Linked DNA regions of Daphnia pulex. The protein of the gene in region 3 binds, or shares a complex with, the protein of the main gene of each other region. Links are inferred from orthologs where the notes say so. Each region holds a gene or a part of one and is shown on either strand. Other genes may lie near its edges.

Region 1 (7,072 bases), on a different chromosome or scaffold from region 3:
TCCGCGAATTCCCTAAATAATTCATTGCCATAGACCGTTCGCTATGTGTGTAGATTTTCCTTTTATTATTATTTTTTTTTCAATTTGAGCAAGTGTCCTGGTCGCCCACTACATTACGGCCGGCCTTCGCTTACGTGTCAATCGGCCAAGTATTCTAGTCTCGTCGTGTTCGTAGAGCCGGTTGGTGATGGATAGATTTCGAGGAGAGTCCTGCGTGCTGGTGCACAGGACCAGCAGCTACAAAAGTCACGAGCCAAAATATATATACCGCCTTTTGGCAAATATACATATACTACTACCTCTTGTTTGTTTGTGGCTAGATTCCCTTTTGCCGACATTACAAGCTCGCAGATATGCCATTACTTTGTGTGCTGTCAGTTGGTCGTGGGCTGGGACTCGCGTGCAATTCCCTGTTTGATTACGATGCCAATTCTCGAGTTGAATAACAAGGAACCGTCATGATGTTTAACCTAAATCATTTTCAAGGAAAAGAAGAAGAAAAAAACGAAATGCCTGAGATAAACCAACTAGCACATAAAAGGCGAAAATTGGGAGACCGAAGATAACCCTTAAATCTGGCTGCAGCTCACGATTTCTCTTAATGCGAATGGCAGTTGTGTTGCGGTTGTGAGCCGCTGGAATGAAATCCGAAACGGACAGATGAGGTTCCCTATCAGGAAGTGCGACGAATCGTCATCTCCACGCTGCAATGAATCATGAATATTCCCCAGTGCGTACTATTCTTCTCTAAAGGTATGATTTCATCAATTTAATTCCCCGCAAAGAGAAAAAATCAAATCGAATCAAGTACTTTGGACAGGTTGACAGATCACCTGTGGCAACCGGCAGCTGCCGGCTCGTTTGCGAATCATTGAATCATTCTCCGAGTCATTCCCCTGTCAATAATCCATCAGTGACGACTGACGAATGCATGTGTTGCAAAGGTACAACTTTCTACGCTCGTGCTGGCTATAGTCCGGGTTCCTGGTTTAGCGTTTTAGACTGCTGTGAGAAAGGAGACATCTGAATTTTAATTTCAGTCAATCCTTCATTCGCATCAAATGGTTCCTTGACAGCCTTTGTTTGAGCTGTCGGCTTCTAAGATAAAACTGTTTTTTGTTTTTCAGCTTCTATTATTTCAAGCAACCATGTTATGTCCTGCATGAGGACTTTTTCCCATTTAAATTTGTTGGAATTGACGTCACGAATTGACGTGCTTTGAAGTACCCAGATCACCAAGTTTCCCAAACATCTTTACAAACGCAGACCTTTGTGATTGGTTTTGTCAAATTAGATTTTCATTGCTTCTCTTGACGAATATTAAAATTGATAAGAAGGTGGAAATTTATTCTTGGAGCGTCAGTAGGTGAACTCCACGGCCAGAAGCGCTAAACCGGACTATGCTATGCATGAAGTGGTTGGCCACTAGTGACCAAGAAAAGTTCTTGGTTCGACCTTCTCCGATTTGCGTCATCCGGCCGATCGGTTTGCCAGGACCAAAAGACGCGCGAGACTTTCGTTTACGAATTACGACGTTGGCAATCAACCCTCCTCTTTTACTTGTGGCAGTTGTTGTTTGCTTGATGAATCGTAAATGACAGGTTGTATGTAATAATACGTCTAATAAATTGTACAACATACCAAACGTACGAAGGAGCATATTGCATGTATAACGCAACAACTGCAAAGATATGTTTATCGCGTATCTCAATAGTTGAAAATTTGATATTTTCTAACCACAAGCTCCGATTTCAGCTTCAATCAATCATTTAATTTAATTTCAATTGTTCCTTCATTACAGTGCATACAAATAGATTTATCCTATTACATTTAAAATGATTAAAATTTTTAAACAATTCCCCTTATGCCGTAACAGCATTGTATATAATAACCAAAAACTGAAAATTACCCTACTTAAGTGCGGGATATAGCTTTATTTTCTTATCGCTAGGTGTCTTATTTTTCCATTTTACAAAGTCGTCTGCAAGTGGTACTCAACAACTTTGTGAAAATGTCACGATATTTAACGAAATTTAGGTAATAAAAACTTTATCGGTCACGTGGAGGCACTCACTATAATACTTTATAATATATTTAGATTGGCCATACCTCTAGTTATTCAGACCAGGCAATTAAATGCTCATAGAGCGTCAATCGGTAGTATTGGACGATCTATCTACGTGAGAACATACCCAACTTTGCTTGTACAACCTGACGGTTCTACAATAACCGTACATTATAATGAACCTCGCGCAATAATAAAGGCAAATTTATTTTTATTTTTAATAAGTATGGACGTAATGTTTGTTTTACTTCCATTAACAGCTGCCTCTGGACTTGAGTATGCTATCTGAAGCTGAGAAGCAAAAACGACTGGCCCAAAGGAAGCCAAAGAAAAAGGTCAAGATTGAAGAGGAAATTGAAGACACATTTGATCAAGATTCATATTCACATTTATGGAAAAAATGAGATGACAGCTGATACACAAATAGTACGAAAAATAAACTAAATTTAACAATATGGATTGTGGTTATGGGGAGCTCTTTTTCTTTGAAAAAGGCATTTTAACTGGTCTGATGAATGGATTTTCCATGATAAATGGTTCTGAATTTGACATTTCCATCAGTGAGCCATTAGGTCCAAGGTTATCCATCATTTCATTGTTCTCTTTCTCCTGATCCAACTTGGCGGCTTTAATGGCTTCAGCATTTGCTTCTTCTTGCTTTTGCATGTGGACGGCTGCCTCGTCTTCTTCAAAAGTTTGATCGCGAGGGAGAAGGGCGGACAAAAACGGTTTATCCATTGGCTTACATGCAATAACTAGGACACAAAGAATATATTTAAATGAAAAAGGTATACATTACTATTTTTTTCGTCCTCTACTTACGGGGATAATGCGTCAAATCTTCGACCAAAAAGAAACTCTGCGTTTCCCCTGTTTTAGCGACAAAGCGCGTCAGTGCTCTCTCCACATCTCGCTTTTGACAGGATGCCTTTTCTCGAATAGTTTCGTAGTCCGTAATAGGTTGTTTGTGAGTCTTAAAAAACAATAATTATTAAAAAATATAATGTATGACAAATATGGAAAACAACATACTGGTGTTTGAACATATGCATGTGAATCTGGAAATGCTGGCAAATGATCTGGGATATGACTTGGATGTGGTCTCTTTTGACCAGTTTGTAAAATTCCAATTTGTTTGGTTGCAACAGCTTGAGTAGGAGTTGGTAAAACTAGCCTTCTTGCTCTTTGAGCATATGATTCCAAAGAGTTGTGCTTAATTCCCATTGAAACCAAGGCCATAACAACATCTCCTACAACAGGTTCCTAAAATTAAAACATATAACTTGACTACTGATTATACCCTATAACTCAGAGAAGAATTTAGATAACCCATACCACTCTTGCAGATAATTCACAGTAAAGACGGCTACTATGACCAAGTTCAGTCAGAACTGTAGAAAGAAAATAAATAAATAAGGTTTTTAACAAATATGATTACTTTGATAGATAGAAATGCTTACAGCTCTGCATCATCTCGGTAAGGGTCTCCAATGACAATTCATCTACTGCACTGAAGCCTGCCTCACTACACAAACAACTCACACTGGCCTGAAGCAGTTTCCTTCTACAAATATTTAAGATAAATTACATTTGTGTAAAACACCTAATTATTAAGGTCTGTCTAAATCTGACATCAAATACTGTAACATGGAAAAAAAAGATTGAGTATCCTTGTCAGTATTTTAGTCTTTTAAAAGTTGTTTTTCACCACACGTATATTAAATGTTTTACCTAGAAGCTGCTCCAGACATGATGGGTTCTGAAACAGTAGTAGTCATTCTCGGTGTTGTGGTTTATAGAAGAAATGATTTTTTATTGAATTATAATATTTGTTGAATGGTTTTGTTGACAATGCAACAAAACTAGCAGTACAGTCGTTGGTCGTTGCTAAACAGTCGCTAGGATTGGTGCAGCGGCGGCACCTGAAAGCTTCGTCAGATTCACTCGCCGTCAATTCTTTCATTTGGTTCTGAACTTGTAAGTCGTCGTCGTCCTAGTGAGTTTTTATCGTCTTTCATCTGGATTTTACCATAATATAGTTTTACAAAAATGTTCTGTTTAATTAAAGCATTATATAGACGACATTTGTGAGTTTTTCCGTGTTCGTAAATAGTAAACTTCCTATTTTTCTAAACAGGATTATCTAGCCACACCAGCTATATACAATGGCCAAATCCAAGAATCACACAAATCACAACCAGAGTAAGTTTATAAATTATATATTTGGAGACACGTTTTAACGTTTCCTCATTTACAGACCGTAAACATCATCGTAATGGCATCAAGAAATCCCAGGCTCACAAGTGCCCATCCAACAAAGGAGTAAGATTTTTGTTTCTTTAGTTACTTGGAACATTTGTCAAATTGACTAGAATTGGTTATTTAGTATACTTTTGAAGGTTCTTTGTAGTTCCTTGTTGCTTTAAAAATCAAGCCCATATTGATTACTGTTCACTGAAATCCATAAATTTCATTCTAAGTTACTTGACGTGAACTTTTCGTGCCATGTATGTGTTTAACCAATGTTAGTTGAGATTGAAGTTTTAATGTTTCTCCTCATTTGCAGGTCGATCGCAAGTTTTTGAGGAACATGAAGAAATCGCGCGCACGCAATCTGAGCACTGCTAAGCAGTTGATTGTCGCCAAGTACCGCAAGGACCAGGCCGAAAAGTAGTTTCTCAAATTCGCGAGGATTAAGTTTTGTGTAAAACAAAATGTTCTAAATACAAATCTTGATTCTACCTTTTCATCTATTACCTAAATTTATAATTAATGTAATATAATTTATAACTAAATCATAAGACTTATAGAATTGTTTTGCCAAAAAAAGCCGACTATTGTTGTTCATGGCTTCATGCAGCAGATTACTTAAATCTACAAGGATACAAAAAAGACCAATTTGTTTTTTATTACGCCAGTTATATATTTTAAGACAATCTGTACAAAATATAATTTGTATTGGACATCTGACGGATAGACTATTAGCAGCAAATTAACATCTTCAATTTATATTATTGAGAGTAAAAGTAATCTAAGGTCGTGGTCTGCGTTTTACCTGTAAAGAAAAAACGTCGTTAAATATCCTATTTCAGTAATGATTAACAGTTTTTACCTTTAATTTTCATTGTAACTGGTCCTCTCTTCTTTTTAGTGCCTGAAAGTGATGAACTGGAGGAACCGGCACCTTTTGGGTAAATTTCGGGTTTTGCGTGACCTCCAAATCCATCATAGAAATAACCACTAGTTGACGGTACTGGATCGACTTTCATTTTTTTAAACTTCAGGGATTCACCATCAACGGATGCGGATGAACTGCTAGCTTTGCGAGCCTCCTTTCGCTGAGTACTGGAAGCTGCTTCTTCTTGTTCAGGATTGCTAAGTTTGGGCTGCATGCTCGAAATATTTTGCGATGACAACATCAATCTAGACGAAGGAACGTTCGAAGGTTTCATTCTAAGCGGAACTAATGGAGTAGAAGGTGACGATGGCGTTGTCATGAGAAGATTAGACATTCGAAGGTTAGTCGGCGCAGGACTCTCATTGATTAGACGAGACAGCGCAGAGTTGCGAGGATCACCACTCGGCGATGAGATCGACTCCGTAAGGGCCTTAAGCTTTTCTTGCAGTTTTGCATTTTCTGTAGTATATCTTTTAATATCCTCTTCTGCCAAGCTGGATTGCTCTTCTTTCTCCTTCAATTCCTTCTTGGTTTGCTGGAGTTCAAGGCGGAAAGTGCTTAGGAGTCGTCGACATTTTCTTAACTCTTCGTCGGCTTTCTGCTTTAGTTGTACTTTAGTATTCAGCTCCCTATGGGAAAATAAACTTTGAAACAAAGCTTTGAATGTTGGCTGATATTATTCAGTACCTGCTTAAAATCACACATTGCGTGCTCAAGGATTTGGCCGTTTCTGAGTGATCACCATATTGCTCCAGCATTTCTTTTACTTCGTCATGAGTAGCAGTCACAATTTGTTGAACATTTTCCATCAGTTTAAGCTTTCCTTTACAAGTCTGCAGCTCTTCTTCTACGATGGCGAAAGACTTAACTTGCTTATTCAGGAAATCGACTCTCTGTTGGAGGTTGCTTATGACGGTTTCCGACTCACGAACTTTTTCTGCACTTTCCTTTTTTTCTTTACAGTACTTGTTAGATTTTTTCTTTAGAGTAACATTCTCTTGCCTAACTTCTCTCAGTTCTCTTTGTACAACTTGAAATTCCAGGGACATTTCATCCAGCTTTTGTTGAAGATCTGCAGAGTCCACTTCAACAGAGAAAGCAATATCAAAGAAGATTCTGCCTAGTTTTTCATTAGACGTGGTTTGACGACAGGTTGGACAAGATTTCTTGGTACTGTACATTTAAGGAAAAAGATGTTAAGGATATCAACAAGAAAACTGTATTAAAGGTGTTACCCAAGCCATTGTGTGATGCAAGTGTTGTGAAATGTGTGACCACATTGTGGAGCCATGACGACATCAGAGTCACCAAAGAGCTCCTGACAGACAGAACACTGGGCACGCATTGTGTGGCTTTGTAAACTAAACCAGTAGCTTTTACAAATCTGAAAAGATAATTAATCATGAGTAAAAGAAATGAGTTTACCACTCATCAAGGAAATTATTCCAAATTAACACATAAACAAAGTGGGATAACAGACTATGTAGTCTGAGATAAACACAAAATGTTTAGGTAGAAAAGTTTAACTTTACTTCTCCTTCAACACCACTGAGACCATCAGTAGCCTCACAAATTAGCACCAAGGACAAACGTTTGAACCAAATTCTTACCTAAATTACTCATGACTCACAGAAAGTTGAAGATCGACAAAGAGTTAAACTTATTTTGGAAATCGACCACTAGCGCCTCCATTTAACGCGCCTTTTGTGTAATATTCGTGTGTCACATGAGAAAAATTGGTTACAACCTTTTTCTCCCAAATAACAAAGTTAAACACAAATTTGGGGTTTATTTTTTAAGAATATTATTTTTTCATTTTTTTCTACAAA
Region 2 (7,595 bases), on a different chromosome or scaffold from region 3:
AATACTCTCCTTTACATCGAGGAGTTCCTTTACTATTCATGTCAGGTCTACCCCATCTATACATTCGATCCATCTGAGAAAAAAATGCAAGTTATTCCGATACAAAACATTCAGGAGGTCTGAAATTGCACAATTAGGCCGACTAACCATAAATTTGTCGCACATTTGCCCATCTTCCAAAGGGCAAACAATGCCAATATTCAATAAATAATTAACAAAATGACTCATCAAAAGCCTCAGATCGGGCTTGCTAATAAGGAGCCTCAAGTAATGATCCTCATCAATAGAAGAGAGTAAATTTGAAACAAGCATTTGCCCTGTGTTATAATCAAATCCGGTGATATAAATGTTTAACATCAAATTGAATAAGTTTATACCTTCAAAATTTTCTAAGGAATTGAGATCATGTCGTTCAAGTGAAGAACGCATTTTTGGTGAGTTAAGTTGTTGCTTTTGTTCCATGGCCAAGTCATACGTAAGGCTTGCCACCTTTCGTAACACATTAGATTCTTTTTCTCCAGAAGCTAAAGTTTATGGAGAAAGAGGAAAAAAAAAGAAATATTATTATGAAATGGTTAGATAGTACACATCATTTAAAGTAAAAAATAATTACTGGAAGGATACGGAATTCCGAGATCACTAGGCTCGCGTCTAGTGGCATTTTGAGTGTGACTAAGAATTGCTGTGGCTGGAATTTCCACTTTCTTATGCCTTGTAAGAGTAAATGGTTGTCCATTGTTGGGCACATTAGAAGATCTATTAGCTCCATTATTGTTATGCCCCGATGAGGAGCCTCCATGTCCTCCAAGGTGCATCATATCTGGCATGTCAATTTCAATCTTTGTAGTGCTTGCCTGTATTAGAAAATAACAAGGAAAAATTTGTCAGCCCTTCATTAAACATACAATCTACAAGTTTTAACAAATGACCACAAAATCAAACTTACTGACTTGTTTTTCTCAGCATATATTTTGAAAATATGATATTTTGCTGCTGCAGCGTAGTAGAATAACAGACTGGGGACTTCGAGGGAGAGATAATTTAGCTGTCCTCTAGCAAGATGTTGATGTGGAGTTACTTGGGCGCAGGAACTCTTCTCATGCTTGGCAAAAAACTTCTTGTCAAACTGCTGGAAATTGTCCTTGATTTGTAACTGTTCTATTTCATTTGACCTTGAACACAGTTCTGTTGCATATGATGAAGTATCAGCATCCAATTCAATATTATCACTTGTCGGTTGTTCAAAACCACTTGACAATGAAACAGTTCCAGCATTTTCAAATTCTGAGACTTCTCTTAAACTGCAAGTTTCGGTATTGCTGTCCAATGGAAGATCAGGTACATTAATGCTATCCGATGTCTCGGAAACGATCAGCAGATTTTCATCACACGTCCAGGTGTGGTGATGAGCGATGTCTTGGTAACTGGACGGATCTTCTTCAGGCTCGTCCACATCAGCATAGAGAGTTTCTGATGTTAACGACTTCCCTATAACTATAACTTTGGACAATCGTTGAGGTGAAAAATTCTGTTCTTGTTGATCTCTTGTCCTGTCATCCGACAGTGTAGACGACGAACCACTGTTGTTTGGAACCTCATTTTGGAAAGGTGGGTTTGGTCCTTTTTCGGTTTCGGTTCCACCATTTTCGGTTCCAACCCGCGGATTCGAAATAAGCCGCCCCTTGGATTTTTGACTAGAACTACTTTTGTTGCCCATTGCTGCGGAGTCGGAGCTGCTGCGATTTCGGAAAAACGGAGAATTCTCTAATTCAGAGTTAGCCGATTTATCTTCGGGAATCGACGAGCTGCAACTTTCAAAGTCGCCCAAGTCGCTCAAGTCATCAACCAAGTTTCCATTCCAATCTTCCTGCTGCGTCCACAATATAGAAAATAATGTCACATTATTTTAAAAAATTTATGAATTCTACCTTAGCGTAGCGGGACTGATCGTCGAGCGTCAGAGGTTGATCGTTTATTAGCAACAAGGGCAAATCGTTTGACAAGCCAACGTTAAGGGCTTCGATGGTGCCTTCCGGATTACGATCATCTCCGTATCCATTATTTTCGTCGTTCCTTTGTTTATCTAATAAATCAATATTAACTGGAAACGCTTGTTGTTGATCAGATAGTGCCGCGTCTTGCAGCACTGGTTCCGGATAGCTAGATTGGCTGTTGGCCTCCACTCGAGCCGCACTAAATGCGTCAAAACTGTACGTAGTTCTAAACGATGTATTAGAACGATCCGAGTCAGATTCTAGCTGCTGTCCGTCTGGAGATCGATGAGAGGGGTTCGGACTGCTGCAATGAGGAGTGATTGGAGATAAAGTCGATTGAGTAAGTGAGTTTCGTTGTTTGGCCTAATTTAAACCAAAATTGAAACATGACGTTTGCTCTTGACGTGTGTTATTTACAGTATAGTAACTAGGGTAACAACTCACTTTGAAGGCGTTGGTTCGAACAAGGCGAGGCAGTTCGGAGTCGGGATCGATTGACGAAATGGAAAGGAGACGGGGACCTGCAGCGAGCTCCGATTGATCCGAGGTAGACAGATGACGGCCGAGTTTATTCAAACGCTGTCCAAATTCTTTGACGCCACGAACTTTTTCCACAAACAAGCTCTTCAACGCTAGAGCTTTAGTGTGTTTGTTGGTGATCAACGACAACTGGTCAGCCGACGTAGCTCTCTTCGTGGAACTGCAGCTCGGCGATTGCGCACTGCCGTTGCCGCTGCTGCAGCTGCTCTCGTTATCTGGCTCACAATAGTCGTTGGTTGCCATAGCGACCTTAGGATCCCTGTGTACATGGGCACAGTAATATCCCTTCCCGATCACCTGGAAATAAGAAAATAAGGGCTAGACAAGAATTTTATTACACGTGGTCGGCAGATTCCACTTCCTAATTTTTGTTCTCATTCTCTCAACCATTACAATGTTACGACCAATAACGAGACGAAAGCTTTTTATGTGTGATTTCTCATCCGATAGAGCGTACGATTACTAAATCGGCGTGTCTCCTACACATGATGATAATGACATTCCAGTCCAACAACAAAATAAAACTTACGTCACGTCGGTCAATACGACGTACGGGAGGCCAATTCTTGTCAGAGGCAACAGGTAGAAATGAGACTGGAGCCTTTTTAACACATAGACACACACAAGTCACAATACAGAGACTGAGTTTGACACGACCTAAGTAGTTCGCCCTGATGGCAAGCTCTTCCCGCCCGCTACTGACGAGATTTTGTGTAATATAAGAGGAAGGGTTTTTAATCCAGTAGAGGGCGATCAGAGAGCATGCATACAAGTAACAAAGAGAGAAAGATAAATGAAAGATAACCTTGCCTAGGCTCGCGCGCCGTAGCCAGACAAATATAGCAAATAAATAAAGAGGAAGCGGAAAGGGGGGAGAGAATGAGGGGAGAACTCACTTACGTACTATGTTGTGCTATTTCCTCATTTTCAAATAAAGGTGTGGGATATTTGAATTGTCGTTTCCTTTTTTCTTTATCCACTATAGCTTTATGAAAGACTCATGATATTTCTATATCGCGCATTTTTCTGGTATAGTCTTCATAAATGAAAATAATTGCGTCACTAGGTCTACACATGTCCAAAATGTAATTTTACATCCAACAGGTATCCAACTTCCAACTACCTATAAATGCGGGCGATGTGGCCTGAACGCGCGATGCCGGCGATGCGCCAGCCGCCAAGCCCGCCAGGCGGCCAGGCCGGCCGGGCCTAATTTTGTAACCGAAACACTGAGAAGAGGCTTCATTAAAACTTGTTGTTTACATCGAGTAGTGTTCTCTTCCTTCCAGTTGTTAATTCCACTTTTTTTTAAAGATTAGATAGAATAGAATCTCATGCAAAATGGAAGATAAAGAAGGTGAACCGTAGAATTTCATTTGTTATAAAAAAATTGTGGTGGCTAAAATATCTAAATTGTGATTGCAGAGCGCATTGAAACTCCGTTAGTGGCGATTGTGATTGATGCTACTCCTGCCAAAAAATTCGCAAGTCAAGCAATAATTGATAATGGATCTACAATGATGAATAGAATTTTTGATGCCTTGATTGGATTTGGAAATGCCCACTTGATGCAAGGCTCTCACAACAAACTGGCAGTCATTGCCTGCAACAGCAAGTCTACGTAAGTGATTTAAAAAATTTTATCTTACAAGACTTATTCATAAGACAATGACCATCTTATATATTTTTTTAATAGAAAGTTTTTGTACCCTTCCGAAAATGGGAATTCTAAATCCTACCATAACCGACCTGGGCAGTATGACATGTTTGCAAAAGTTGATTCCGATATTCGTCATGGCCTTTCAGAGCTAATCTTGAAAGATTCAATTGACCATGATTCTACTACATCAGACTCATTATTAGGGGGAGCTATGGCTCGTGCTCTGTGCCACATTCATAAAGTTCAAAGGGAACTTAGTTTGAGTCATCAGTTAAAACCACGCATACTTGTTGTTAGTGGCAGTTCTGACAGTGCTTTGCAGTACATGACCTTTATGAATGTGTTCTTCACAGCTCAGAAAGAGGTAATATGCTTACTTTAAAATCAATATTTTTTAAGAAAATAGTAAGAATGTTTCTCTTTTACAGAATGTTGTGATTGACTGTTGCATGATGGATACTGATTCTGGATTACTACAACAAGGCTGTGACATAACTGGAGGGCAATACTTACGAATTCCTACTGTTGTTGGATTACTGGAGTATTTGCTGTGGGTTTTCCTTCCAGGTCCATCTTGTAGATCCAAAATTGTCTTGCCACCTCCTACAAAAGTTGATTACAGAGCAGCTTGCTTCTGCCACCACAAACTAGTTGATATTGGATGGGTCTGCTCTGTTTGTCTTTCAAGTAAGTTAATGGTTTTTATCATTACTCTTCACTTTCAGTAACTTATTGCTTGTTTCTAGTTTTCTGCAAATTCAGCATTCTTTGTACCACATGTAACACAGAATTCAAACTTAATAGACCTGCAATCGTACCCTCCAAACCGAAGAAGCGTCCTCGAATGGAATAAATGGAAGATACAGTGAAAAATTAATTATTGCCCAAAAAGCTCTGACTGAAGCTCAATTTAGCACTTTGCTGTAAATTTCCGTGGCATACAAAAAGAAATTGTTTTGTACATGACCATTCAATGTTTCTTGGGTTTCTCTTTAGTCTCTACTGGTCTCTACTCTATACTCTCTAGTCTCTACTCTTTATGAAGAAAGAAAAAAAATTAAGACTAAAAAGACTGATTGTTATAACTATACTTTTCTTAGTGGCAGAGATATTGTTAGGTTAGTTCGATTGTTAGGTTATCTCTGATTTAAAATTTCGATTTTTTTAGAAAAAATTAACAATTTAAAAAAAAAATGAAAATTTTTAACAAAATGAAAATGTAGCTTTACTTCACCAAATTTTGAATAGCTTTTCGTCTGCTAGGTATCTTGAAAAGAGACAAGGCAAGGTTAACTATATAAGAGTTTTCAAAAGAATAATAATTTAGATTACGTACCGTTAATTTCCGGATGTTTACAAATAATTTGAGATTGGTTTCACGTTACATATACGCTCGCACAATGACCAACGCAGCGTTAGCCGCTAGAAACAGAATCGTATGGATGGATCTAGAGGTGAATTGGTTTCCAAGGAACAAGTCAAAAATTAGTTTTTTATAAGCTAATTTTCTTTATAGATGACGGGGTTGGACGACACCAAGGACCACATTCTTGAAGCTGCTTGTCTTATCACTGATCAAGACTTGAACATTGTTGCTGAAGGTCCTAACATCATCATTAATCAACCTGATAGCATCTTAGATGGAATGGTTATATCTATTATATTATATTATTCTTATATATTATATTATATATTCTATCTTATAATATAGGGAGAGTGGTGTAAAAAAACACATGGAGAGGTTTCAAATAATTCATTCAATACTGTTTATCCAAATCATAACACTTACTTTCTTTCAGTCTGGGTTAACAGAAGCATGTAGAAATAGTAATATCAGTGTTGAAGAAGCTCAAGAAAAGCTTGTTGATTTTATTGGTCGTTATACTAACCCCGGAGAATGCCCGCTGGCTGGGAATTCCATTGGTGAAGATAAAAGATTTCTGTACAAGTACATGCCCAAACTCATAAACCATCTGCACTACCGGATAATAGATGTTTCAACCATCAAGGAATTGGGAAGGTAATAAATTAATTTAAACTTTTTTTTTTAAATCATTAGCAAAATACATCTGGAATTAGGAGGTGGTATCCAGATGTTTTGAAAAATGCTCCCCCAAAATCCTTAACTCATAGAGCCATGGATGACATAAAAGAAAGTCTGATGGAACTGAGCTTCTACAAAGCAAATATTTTCAAATGAAAACACATTATTTATGTAACAGTCTACTACCTTTATTCACACCCACCCACAAATCAAACTGTAAATACAATGCAGTTATTGGATTGCATGTACTGTGTTCAAAGGGATGTCAAATATAATGCTAATGAAACAGCAGCTGCAAGGACAACATACCCTGTGCTTTGAATTCCCTTAATTGTGAGGTTGAAACCAGTATCCCACACAAGGTGTCTCATTCCATTAATCAGGTGATAGGAAAATGGAAAAGCAATGAGAAACTTCCCAGCCAATACAATAAGTGGAAGGTGTGCAGCTTCCAACATTCCCAAATAATGTGGAAATGATGCAGGCAATACCATGGCACCTATCAGATTACAAATAAAGCATATTAAAACATATTTATTGATGTAAAGATTGATTGATGAAATTACCAATAGCTAGACCATACATCAGTCCATTTTGTGCAAGACCAGTAAAACGATGTGTAATGGACAAAGCCATATTAGACTGGAATTGGTAAATAGATAGATGGGGAGAAATTGGCCGTTGCAACCTCTTATTCTTATCTTCAAAATTTTCATTTGAAAGGGGTTTAGCACGATTAGCTTCGACGCTTTTAATTCCGAACGTAGAGGCTGACACAGTGTGTTGCCTGCAGCAATTAATAAGGGGAAACGTTAAAATATGTTAAATCATCCTTCACCAAAACATCTACCATGATTTGACCGGAGCTGCTGTGAGTAGCCGGGTTTGGGTAGTATTTTTTAAGATGGTACTAATAAAAACAAAATTAAAAACATATTTAGAAAAAAACTGGTTCTAGATATTAGGAAAGTTTTAAAAAATTGTTTTATATTTTATTTCTACCGTAAAAGCGCCATATTTGTTATTGCACAGCAGTAGCGAATACTGATTTCGTTCGCGAGGTTGACGGATCAAATTTATGGCAATAGTTTCAATTACTTAACAGTTTTCAAATTTTTTATTCTAACATAAGAAAAACTTGAAAAAAACAACAATTTTCATATCCTTTTCAAATTCTGTAAATAATAAGTGGATAATAAGAAAATTGGTCGTACGCGTCGTACGTGTACGTCCCTCTCCCTTTTCCAACCCATGCCCAACCTTTAGAATGCTTGGGGCGTTTCCTACTGCCTTCCCAATGCTAAAGCATAGTTTTTATCCTAAAATTTAACTTTTTACTCAGCTAACATTAGTTAAA
Region 3 (7,718 bases):
TTTGGAAAGAGATACTGAGGACCAGGGCCTGGAAACTTTGCAGAATGTTGCTTACATAGAAAATATAGATGATGCGCATTTTCTTGATACAGATCACGAGGTATGTAATTGTATCTAATGTAATCTACATTTGGGAAAGAATTTACTAATGTTAAAATTTTCGGTGAAAATACTTAGGTAACCATCATAGAAGCAGAATCTTTAGAAGTCCTCCCTGTAAACACTTATATTGTGGAGCCATCCGGTGTGGGGCCTATGTTAGTACAATTTTCTATTGATCAAGACGATGTTCAAGAAATTCCTTCCTTGGAAGAATCATTAAATTCGTGATGTTCGTAATACATCTCTCCTTTAATTGCCAGTCTTCGCATTGATTTATAGAACCCATTTTGAAATTTGTAAATACACAAAGGACCATATTTTTGTCTTTACTATTTAGTCTCAATGAACCTCCTCAAAACATTATTTGATATGTCTGAAGTCTGAACTTAATTTTAGCTGTACCTTTGGATAATTTTATGTGCTTAAAGTCACTTTGGATTGGTTATTGCGCCTTCGGATCAGAGTGTTCGGACTTTGGATGTTGAATCAGTAGTCCGCCTAGACAGGCACATGGGCAGGCGTAATTTTCAGCAAGACTGGTATTTACGTCTGAGCACCATAGCTATTAGCTACTGCCCTCCTACCACTACCTGTACTCAGGTAGTACTTTCCAGTTTCCACTAATAAAGTCCACTTGGTCTTTATTACCGCTTTTGCGGCTGGCGACTTACGAGTTACCGGAGTTACGAGTTACGACTTTACAGGCTTGCGACTTGCGAGTTGCGACTTGCGAGTGCCGACTTTCGAGGTTTGGCAGGACTGCATGCTTTGTTGCAGACGACGCTCTCTTGATTGTTTTTAGAAAACAGTCAAAACAGTGAAACACTTATTTTCGTTCCTGCTGTTTGGTCACTGGTAAAGTCTTTAACAAAAATGTCATTCTATTTAATTGAATTTTTGAACTAAACAAAATTAATACTAACTTCATATCTTGTATAAAATTTCTTATTATAGGACAGTGCTGCATCATTATTCGGTTGAAAGTTCTGAATGGGCATCAAAACTAGTATAAAAAGGGGTATTTAATCATAATGGAAGTTCTTATAAAAGTTGAAGAAACTGAAATAGTTGATGTTCAAAACGGTCTAATAAACAAAGAGGGAACTGAAGAAAATAAAGAAGCTCAAGAATGTTGCACTAGCAAACCGTTGGTGCATACAGTTGAAAAAGAAACAAAAAATACTGGGCACTCTAGCCGTGATAAACATCTTTGCACCGAGTGTGGAGCGAACTTTGTATCTATGCTAAAGTACATGGACCACCTTAATCGTCATACTGGGAATAAGCCATATGTTTGTGAAGAATGTAACAAACAGTTCTTTACCTTGTCATATTTAAGAAATCATCAAAAACTACACTCTGCTGACTATCAATTCATTTGTGAGTTCTGTGGCAAAGCTTTCAGATTAAAAAATAATCTGCAAATGCACGAACTGACTCACACAAAGGAGAAACCATTTAAGTGTGATCTTTGTGATAAAGGTAATTAACCATTGTGGATCTTAGTTTTTAAATTTACTTACTAATTCATTTTGCGTTTAGCATATACTCACCCAATGAATTTGAAGATACACAAACAAGAACATACAGGTGCGAAACCATTCCAGTGTGAAACTTGCGGTAGATGTTTCCGAACAACACACCGACTTAAAACCCATAAAATGTCTCACACAGGTACGGCTGTCAATTTTTTATAACCAGAGCACATTGCCAAATTGAAATATCTATTATTATAATATGAATTTACAATTTAAACTAGGTGAAAAAGCTTTCAGTTGTCTAAACTGTGAATCAAAATTCACAAGCAATTCTAAAGTAAAAAGACATATGAACCTCCATTGCAAATTTTCCAAAGGAACAAAGCCACCTGCTGGTGATGAAAATGAATAACTATAGACCAGGCTAAATCAATATAAGATTGAATTAAGTGTCAAATGGTGATAATGAAAATAAACTATGAAATATGGCAAGGACTGTGTAAATTTTTCATCCTAACTTTTCTATTTACACAATACTTCTACAAATAAAGAACAATATTTTACTTCTTTAGAACAAGACTTTCCAAAACTGAGTGAACTTTCTCAGCAGACAGGTTCATTACTGGGGCACTTACTTCCAGGCCTTTCTCTATAAATTAAAAAGACAATTAAGGTAATTTTTACTATGAATCCAAATTAGAATATGTAAACCAACCATGTCGGGCACAGATTTTTGGCAGGATACCACTGCATTCCCTGATGAGGATAGGTGTTTTGGGATTGGTTTTCTTCAAGTCGATGTAATGCTTTTCAATGAAATCTCTAAAATGAATAGTAATAACACCATGAAGATGAAGAGTTAAAATGATAAAATTAAGGGAATGACTGAATGAGACTATTCTCTACGATTACACCATGATTATACGTCTACACAGAATAATTCACGTCTTTCACAATAAAAGATTATTCGCATTTTACATTTCATTTAACACACTCTTCATTTACCTAACCCCTTTGCTGGCGTCTGACTTTTGGCAAAGATGAATCCGAATCTCTTTCACATGGGGCAAAATTTTTACTGCTCTAGCGGCTGCCATGTTGGAAAAGTTTTTGCAGACTCGACAACAAAACAAACTCGAGAATCGAGATTCGAGATATCTTGCTCTTGATCCTAGCGGCGAGCAACAAAAGTAAAGAGTTATTTCTTATTTGAAAAGTATTCTGATCCCCGTTTTGTCTTAGATAAATTTATTTTCTCTTTAAATTACCAATTATTAAATAGAAATGAATCCTGGAACAATAGTTTAGTAATACAAAAGTATGAAAGTATAGCAACGTCTAAAATACAGTACAACGCTGACGTTGCTACACGGCCTACGCCTACAGTGACAGTCCGACATTGTTGTGGCGTCTGCTCGTGAACGACGAATCACGAATATTTGATTCTAATTTTTATAGTGACTCGTGATATAATAATATTAGTGGTAGGCTCAATTGTTAAAAAATGAATAGACCTACAGTTCTACCACCTAGCAGTACAAATGATAATGGAGGAGATGAGTTGGAAAATCAGTTTATATTGAGACTCCCACCAACCTTACCAGTGAGTTCTTTGGACACTTGTATTCACATTATTATTGTCTTAAACTGAAATTCTTTAATGTGTTTGTGGTAGGAATGTGCCGAAAGTTTGCGACAAACTCTAAGGACAGGTGTGATGAATCTGAAGGACCGCCTAAATATTAGAATGGATAATGACATGAGGAAAGGACAGGTTCAGTTTGACAATTGGACTATGTCTGCCAAGGTGTTATTCTTAATTAGAGTATTTGATATTCAATTGTAAAACAAATATTTACTTAGGTTTTAGATCTTCCATGTGTCATGGAATCTCAAAAAACCATTGACAATAAAACATTTTACAAAGCCGCTGATGTCAGCCAGGTGAGTAATAATTCAATTCAAATTCTTAGAATATTGATTTTACCTGATATTTAAAATTTGAAGATATTGATTTGTAAAGAAGGAGAACAACAGTCAAGTAGTGAAGAAGAAACTCCTGTTAAACCAAAGAAAAAAGATCCTCATAAGGTCGATAAAAAATTCCTTATGCCTCACGGCATAGCTCCACCAATGAAGAATGTCAGGAAAAGGAGATTTCGAAAAACCCTTAAAAAGAAGTACGTTGAGGCTCCTGAAATCGAAAAAGAAGTCAGGCGCCTACTGCGTGTTGATAATGAAGCGGTAAGTGTACGATGGGAACTGATCACAGAAGAAGATGAATCTAAGGTAAAGGCAGCCAATGAAGCTGGGTTGGGAGATGGGGCAGCAATGACCGTCCCTCTTGCATCCGGAACATTCGTTAGCACACAAAACCGTGGCTTGGGTATGTTTTGTAAAAACCAACGGTTTTCAGCACTCGTTCAAATTGCTTCATACTTCTGTTATCTATAGCCGAACACGATATTTTTGGTGAGGCACTAAGCGACTCAGATGAAGAACATGGAAGCAAGATCAACATTATGGAATCAGACTACGAAAACAGTGACGAATCCCGTGGATCGGGTTCGGAGTTCTATGCAGGAAGCAACAGGGTACCAAATTTAAAATAATTAAATTTGTTTCGATAGTTGTTACATTCTCTTTTTTAGGGGTCCAATTCTATGATAACCCAATTTAGCGGAGATATGTTTCGGGATGACAGCAGTTCTTCTAATCTATCTCCACAAAAAAAGGTCATCGACACACAAAAAGGTAAACATTTCAAATTTGTTTTTCTGCTTTAAAAATTAATATCATTTGTCGTTAAGACGATTTGCAAAAAATGGCTGATAAACTGAGGGATGAAATCCGTGAGATCAAGAACATGAGACAAGCTCAAGAAAACGAGCTAGCTACAATTGAAAACGCCGCCCTCAAGCAAAGATTTCAGATGGCTCTTTCAAAACTTGTTGCTCAGGAACAAGAGAAAAAGGAAGAGGTGATCTCTATTGTGTTGTTTATTATTATTTCAGCTATTTTTAACAAATTGTATTCTAGTATGACCAAATCATGTCCATGTTATAACGGACACCTCTGGATAAAAGCTGAAATGGACCAAACCTCAAGGATAGATAAATCGATGGATCCATCCGCCTTCAGAATGTCTGTCGGGATTGCAATGGCGCCTGTTTTGATCCCTTCCAAAATAGATTGTCGAGTGTCGTTTAGTTGTGCTGCCAATACACGAGCGTCTTTTTCTTCTTTACGTTCGCGTATACATTGGTTTAATCTTTTTCTAAGAACTTTGTCGATATTGTGAAAGATGTTGTGATCGTTGCGTAGTTTGCTTTGCTCGGACGCAAGCTTCTTTTCTTCTAGAGTCTTCAATGTTGAGACAGGACTATCCACAGCATTCTGGATGTAATTCCATATCTTGTTCAATATTTCTGTATCATTTAAATCAATGTGTCCAATCGTCAAAGAATTTTCCCACGCTTCACAGGGATCTTCAAATTTGGTGTTCATTTGAGTGATTACAATGTCAGGAACACGGCTGCTTTGCGGACGACTGTTGTTTTGGAGTAACGCTTCAGACACTTCGCATTTGACATAAATTTGAAGGTAGCCTGTGTAGAATTTGGCCGCTAACTGATGATATTCATACCGCATACTTCGATAGTAGTTGTTATCATCAACAATTACGACACACTTTTTGGAAGAAGGATTGGGCACTTTCAAGAAAGACTCCACAGTGTCTTTCATCTCGCGACGGTAATGCTTTGTTATTTCACTAGATGACGAAACAGCAATTTCAGCCTGTTTTTCTAAACTCACAATAGTATCAAAAGTTGCACAATTCACAATGCAATTGTTTTCTGTTAAAAAACTACATAATCTTCCTGCTAACCAGCTCTTTCCACTGGCAGGCAAACCTAGTAACACCACAATGCAATAACACTGATTCATTTCTGTCCTGTTGGTATGTGTCACTATTTTACACAACTTGAGGCTCTAAAGATGAGGTCTCTTGTGAAACATGTTGAGGCTCAGTTTCTGCTATTATGACTGACTGTGCAACTGTGTTAATTTCAGCAACTTCAGGAATAGTTTCTGCGACTGCTTGTGGTGGGTTAAGTTTCTCCATCTCTTCCACTCGCTTTTGCACAATTAGAGGTTGAACTTCCATATACACAGACATGATTTTATGGTTGACTCTAATGTTCTTCGTTGAGCACATTTCAACACATTTATCCTAAAAAAAAGCAAAAACAAAAAAATAACTATTGGTCTGATATGTTATGAAAGAGAAACCTCATGTTCTTAGCCTACCTCATCTTCAGTCAGCTCTCTAGTCTGAAATGTGTTCACGCATCGCGTGAAACAAGTTTCTGACATTTTGTTGAACACTAAGAGAAAATCTTTAAACTAGGAAGAAGAGATCAATTAACTTTCTGGCATTAATTACAATTCAAATACATTTTCTAAAAACTTACGTTCCTGAGTGCATCCATTTCGAATTACTTTCCACAAATTGACAATTCATGTCGTCTGCAAAACATATGGCTCACCGGGTTGCCACATTAGCCGAAACGTCAACATATCCGTATTTTGTTTAAAAAAATTTAAAAATTAATTTACTTGTTTATCTATTGATTTCGAGTGTAAAATGCTTTATTATAATTCTTCATTTTTCAAATAACATATACATAAATTTGTTAAAAGACGATTATGAGGGCGATGAAAACTGCAAAGGGGAAACGGGATCGTTCCTTGCTTTTGAGGAGAGCTAGCGAAGCATGCATTGACAATAGTAGACCCCGTCAAAAGCAGATGACCCCGGTGTCAATTAAAAATAATTCAAAAAAAAACACGGAAAACTAGGTAGTGGCAAAATATCGCAAAATTCAGAAACTATTCACAAAGTTGCTAATTCTCGTGATGGAAAATCAATCTATAAACTGACCAAAGGAACGAAGCTCATCTCGATAGCCAACATTTACGTTCTCGTTTGAATGGGATAAAATGGTGAAGAATAAGAGCGAGCAAATTATTAGAGCCGCATGGACTTTTGCTTGTTCATGGTATTCAACATCAAGGAGATGTAGGAGGTGAGCAAGTCGTCCATCTTGTAGCCGAGCGAGGTTTCGCACAGCAATTTCGATCCTCGCACCAGGTTGCCGATAGTCATGTGGAAGTAAGTGTTGCCCGAAGACCAGTTGGAGATGCGCGTGAACGGGTGAGTCACCAAAATGTCCTAGAACACGAACAAATGTTAATTCCGAGTTCAAAAAAGAAAGATAATGGCGGGTGTGCGATATTCACCTTAGTCTGTGGATGGATCAGACAGACTCCGCTTTTGTTGATGGCAATCAAAAGCTGTTCGGGGAAATTGGGCTCGGTCGTTTGTTTGACTTCGAAGAAGGCCGAACCAAACGTTGGCCAGCGGTAAATAATCTTTAGAAAGTTGATCTTGGCGTCTTCGGCACTCATTCCTAAAATGTTCAATTCAAAACGATGTGGCGTCAACACCAAATGGAATCAAGTCAATCATTCAATCAAATGTCAAACCTGAATCTTGAGCGTGAGCAGCCGTGATAGTTTTCTTCCAATCATTGTTGCCTAAAAGTTTGATCAGATCGGCCGGGACCAGGTCGCGTAGCATTTGCGGCACGTTGGCCAGCTCGGCTTTGCTCTCGCCGAAGCGGACGCGGTAAATGAAAGCGGCCAGACGGATGGCTTCGTCCTTGTTGCAGCGGTGATAGCCTCTCAGCAGTTTAGGCAACTCTTGGTGGAAATGGAAGATGGTATCGGCGTTGCGGTCTTTGCCCGGCACGGTGTTGGTCCACAGTTTCTTCATGAAAAACACTTGGTAGGTGAATTGAGGCGTGATACCTGTCCAGGCCATAAACATATAATAAAGAAAAAGGGATAACGATAAAATTGTAGACGATGTGAACGTTACCGTCTTTGGTCGGTTTGGCCTTTTTGATCCAGTCCGTCAAGTGGCGGACGAAATCAAAGAAAAAGTCTTCTTCGGGCACCGAAATGACCTTGTCGGCAATCTTGACAAAGAGACTGAAACCTTCGTCCGACTTGAGTGCCAGTCGCTGCGAGATGCTTTGGCAAAAGTCTTTAGCTCTGGTGGAAGAATCGACT

The links. The genes of interacting proteins can lie anywhere in the genome.
Region 1: transcription initiation factor TFIID subunit 7-like (region 3) and transcription initiation factor TFIID subunit 8-like share a complex: the UniProt entries of both Homo sapiens proteins name them as parts of the TFIID basal transcription factor complex. The link is inferred for Daphnia pulex from reciprocal best matches to the Homo sapiens genes TAF7 and TAF8.
Region 2: transcription initiation factor TFIID subunit 7-like (region 3) and general transcription factor IIH subunit 3-like share a complex: the UniProt entries of both Homo sapiens proteins name them as parts of the TFIID-containing RNA polymerase II pre-initiation complex. The link is inferred for Daphnia pulex from reciprocal best matches to the Homo sapiens genes TAF7 and GTF2H3.

The regions. Positions count from the first base shown.
Region 1 is NC_060020.1:5,722,872-5,729,943, reverse strand, and holds transcription initiation factor TFIID subunit 8-like, read right to left. Parts: upstream 3,959-7,072; 5' UTR 3,844-3,958; coding exon 3,797-3,843; intron 3,630-3,796; coding exon 3,526-3,629; intron 3,457-3,525; coding exon 3,401-3,456; intron 3,329-3,400; coding exon 3,098-3,328; intron 3,039-3,097; coding exon 2,888-3,038; intron 2,821-2,887; coding exon 2,531-2,820; 3' UTR 2,436-2,530; downstream 1-2,435. Other genes in the region: E3 ubiquitin-protein ligase TRAIP-like, read right to left, coding at 5,077-5,120, 5,178-5,872, 5,931-6,416, 6,479-6,588. UniProt on the Homo sapiens protein: The TFIID basal transcription factor complex plays a major role in the initiation of RNA polymerase II (Pol II)-dependent transcription.
Region 2 is NC_060021.1:11,068,959-11,076,553, reverse strand, and holds general transcription factor IIH subunit 3-like, read left to right. Parts: upstream 1-3,740; 5' UTR 3,741-3,875; coding exon 3,876-3,891; intron 3,892-3,959; coding exon 3,960-4,155; intron 4,156-4,230; coding exon 4,231-4,558; intron 4,559-4,622; coding exon 4,623-4,881; intron 4,882-4,940; coding exon 4,941-5,047; 3' UTR 5,048-5,160; downstream 5,161-7,595. Other genes in the region: uncharacterized protein LOC124194693, read right to left, coding at 1-73, 148-317, 378-524, 614-854, 947-1,870, 1,929-2,357, 2,439-2,777; oligoribonuclease, mitochondrial-like, read left to right, coding at 5,544-5,648, 5,711-5,842, 5,906-5,935, 5,994-6,214, 6,274-6,394; succinate dehydrogenase cytochrome b560 subunit, mitochondrial-like, read right to left, coding at 6,493-6,737, 6,805-7,025, 7,089-7,148, 7,241-7,254. UniProt on the Homo sapiens protein: Component of the general transcription and DNA repair factor IIH (TFIIH) core complex, which is involved in general and transcription-coupled nucleotide excision repair (NER) of damaged DNA and, when complexed to CAK, in RNA transcription by RNA polymerase II.
Region 3 is NC_060022.1:1,979,471-1,987,188, reverse strand, and holds transcription initiation factor TFIID subunit 7-like, read left to right. Parts: upstream 1-2,960; 5' UTR 2,961-3,084; coding exon 3,085-3,183; intron 3,184-3,255; coding exon 3,256-3,387; intron 3,388-3,443; coding exon 3,444-3,524; intron 3,525-3,587; coding exon 3,588-3,966; intron 3,967-4,034; coding exon 4,035-4,174; intron 4,175-4,231; coding exon 4,232-4,334; intron 4,335-4,390; coding exon 4,391-4,560; intron 4,561-4,561; exon of another isoform or gene 4,562-4,619; coding exon 4,620-4,646; downstream 4,647-7,718. Other genes in the region: putative zinc finger protein 66, read left to right, coding at 1-100, 178-329, 531-702, 1,110-1,584, 1,645-1,776, 1,862-1,992; NADH dehydrogenase [ubiquinone] 1 alpha subcomplex subunit 2-like, read right to left, coding at 2,141-2,229, 2,296-2,402, 2,586-2,677; L-seryl-tRNA(Sec) kinase-like, read right to left, coding at 4,641-5,528; mitochondrial import inner membrane translocase subunit Tim10 B-like, read right to left, coding at 5,557-5,814, 5,892-5,987, 6,056-6,073; myosin-VIIa-like, read right to left, coding at 6,613-6,816, 6,885-7,054, 7,131-7,454, 7,525-7,718. UniProt on the Homo sapiens protein: The TFIID basal transcription factor complex plays a major role in the initiation of RNA polymerase II (Pol II)-dependent transcription.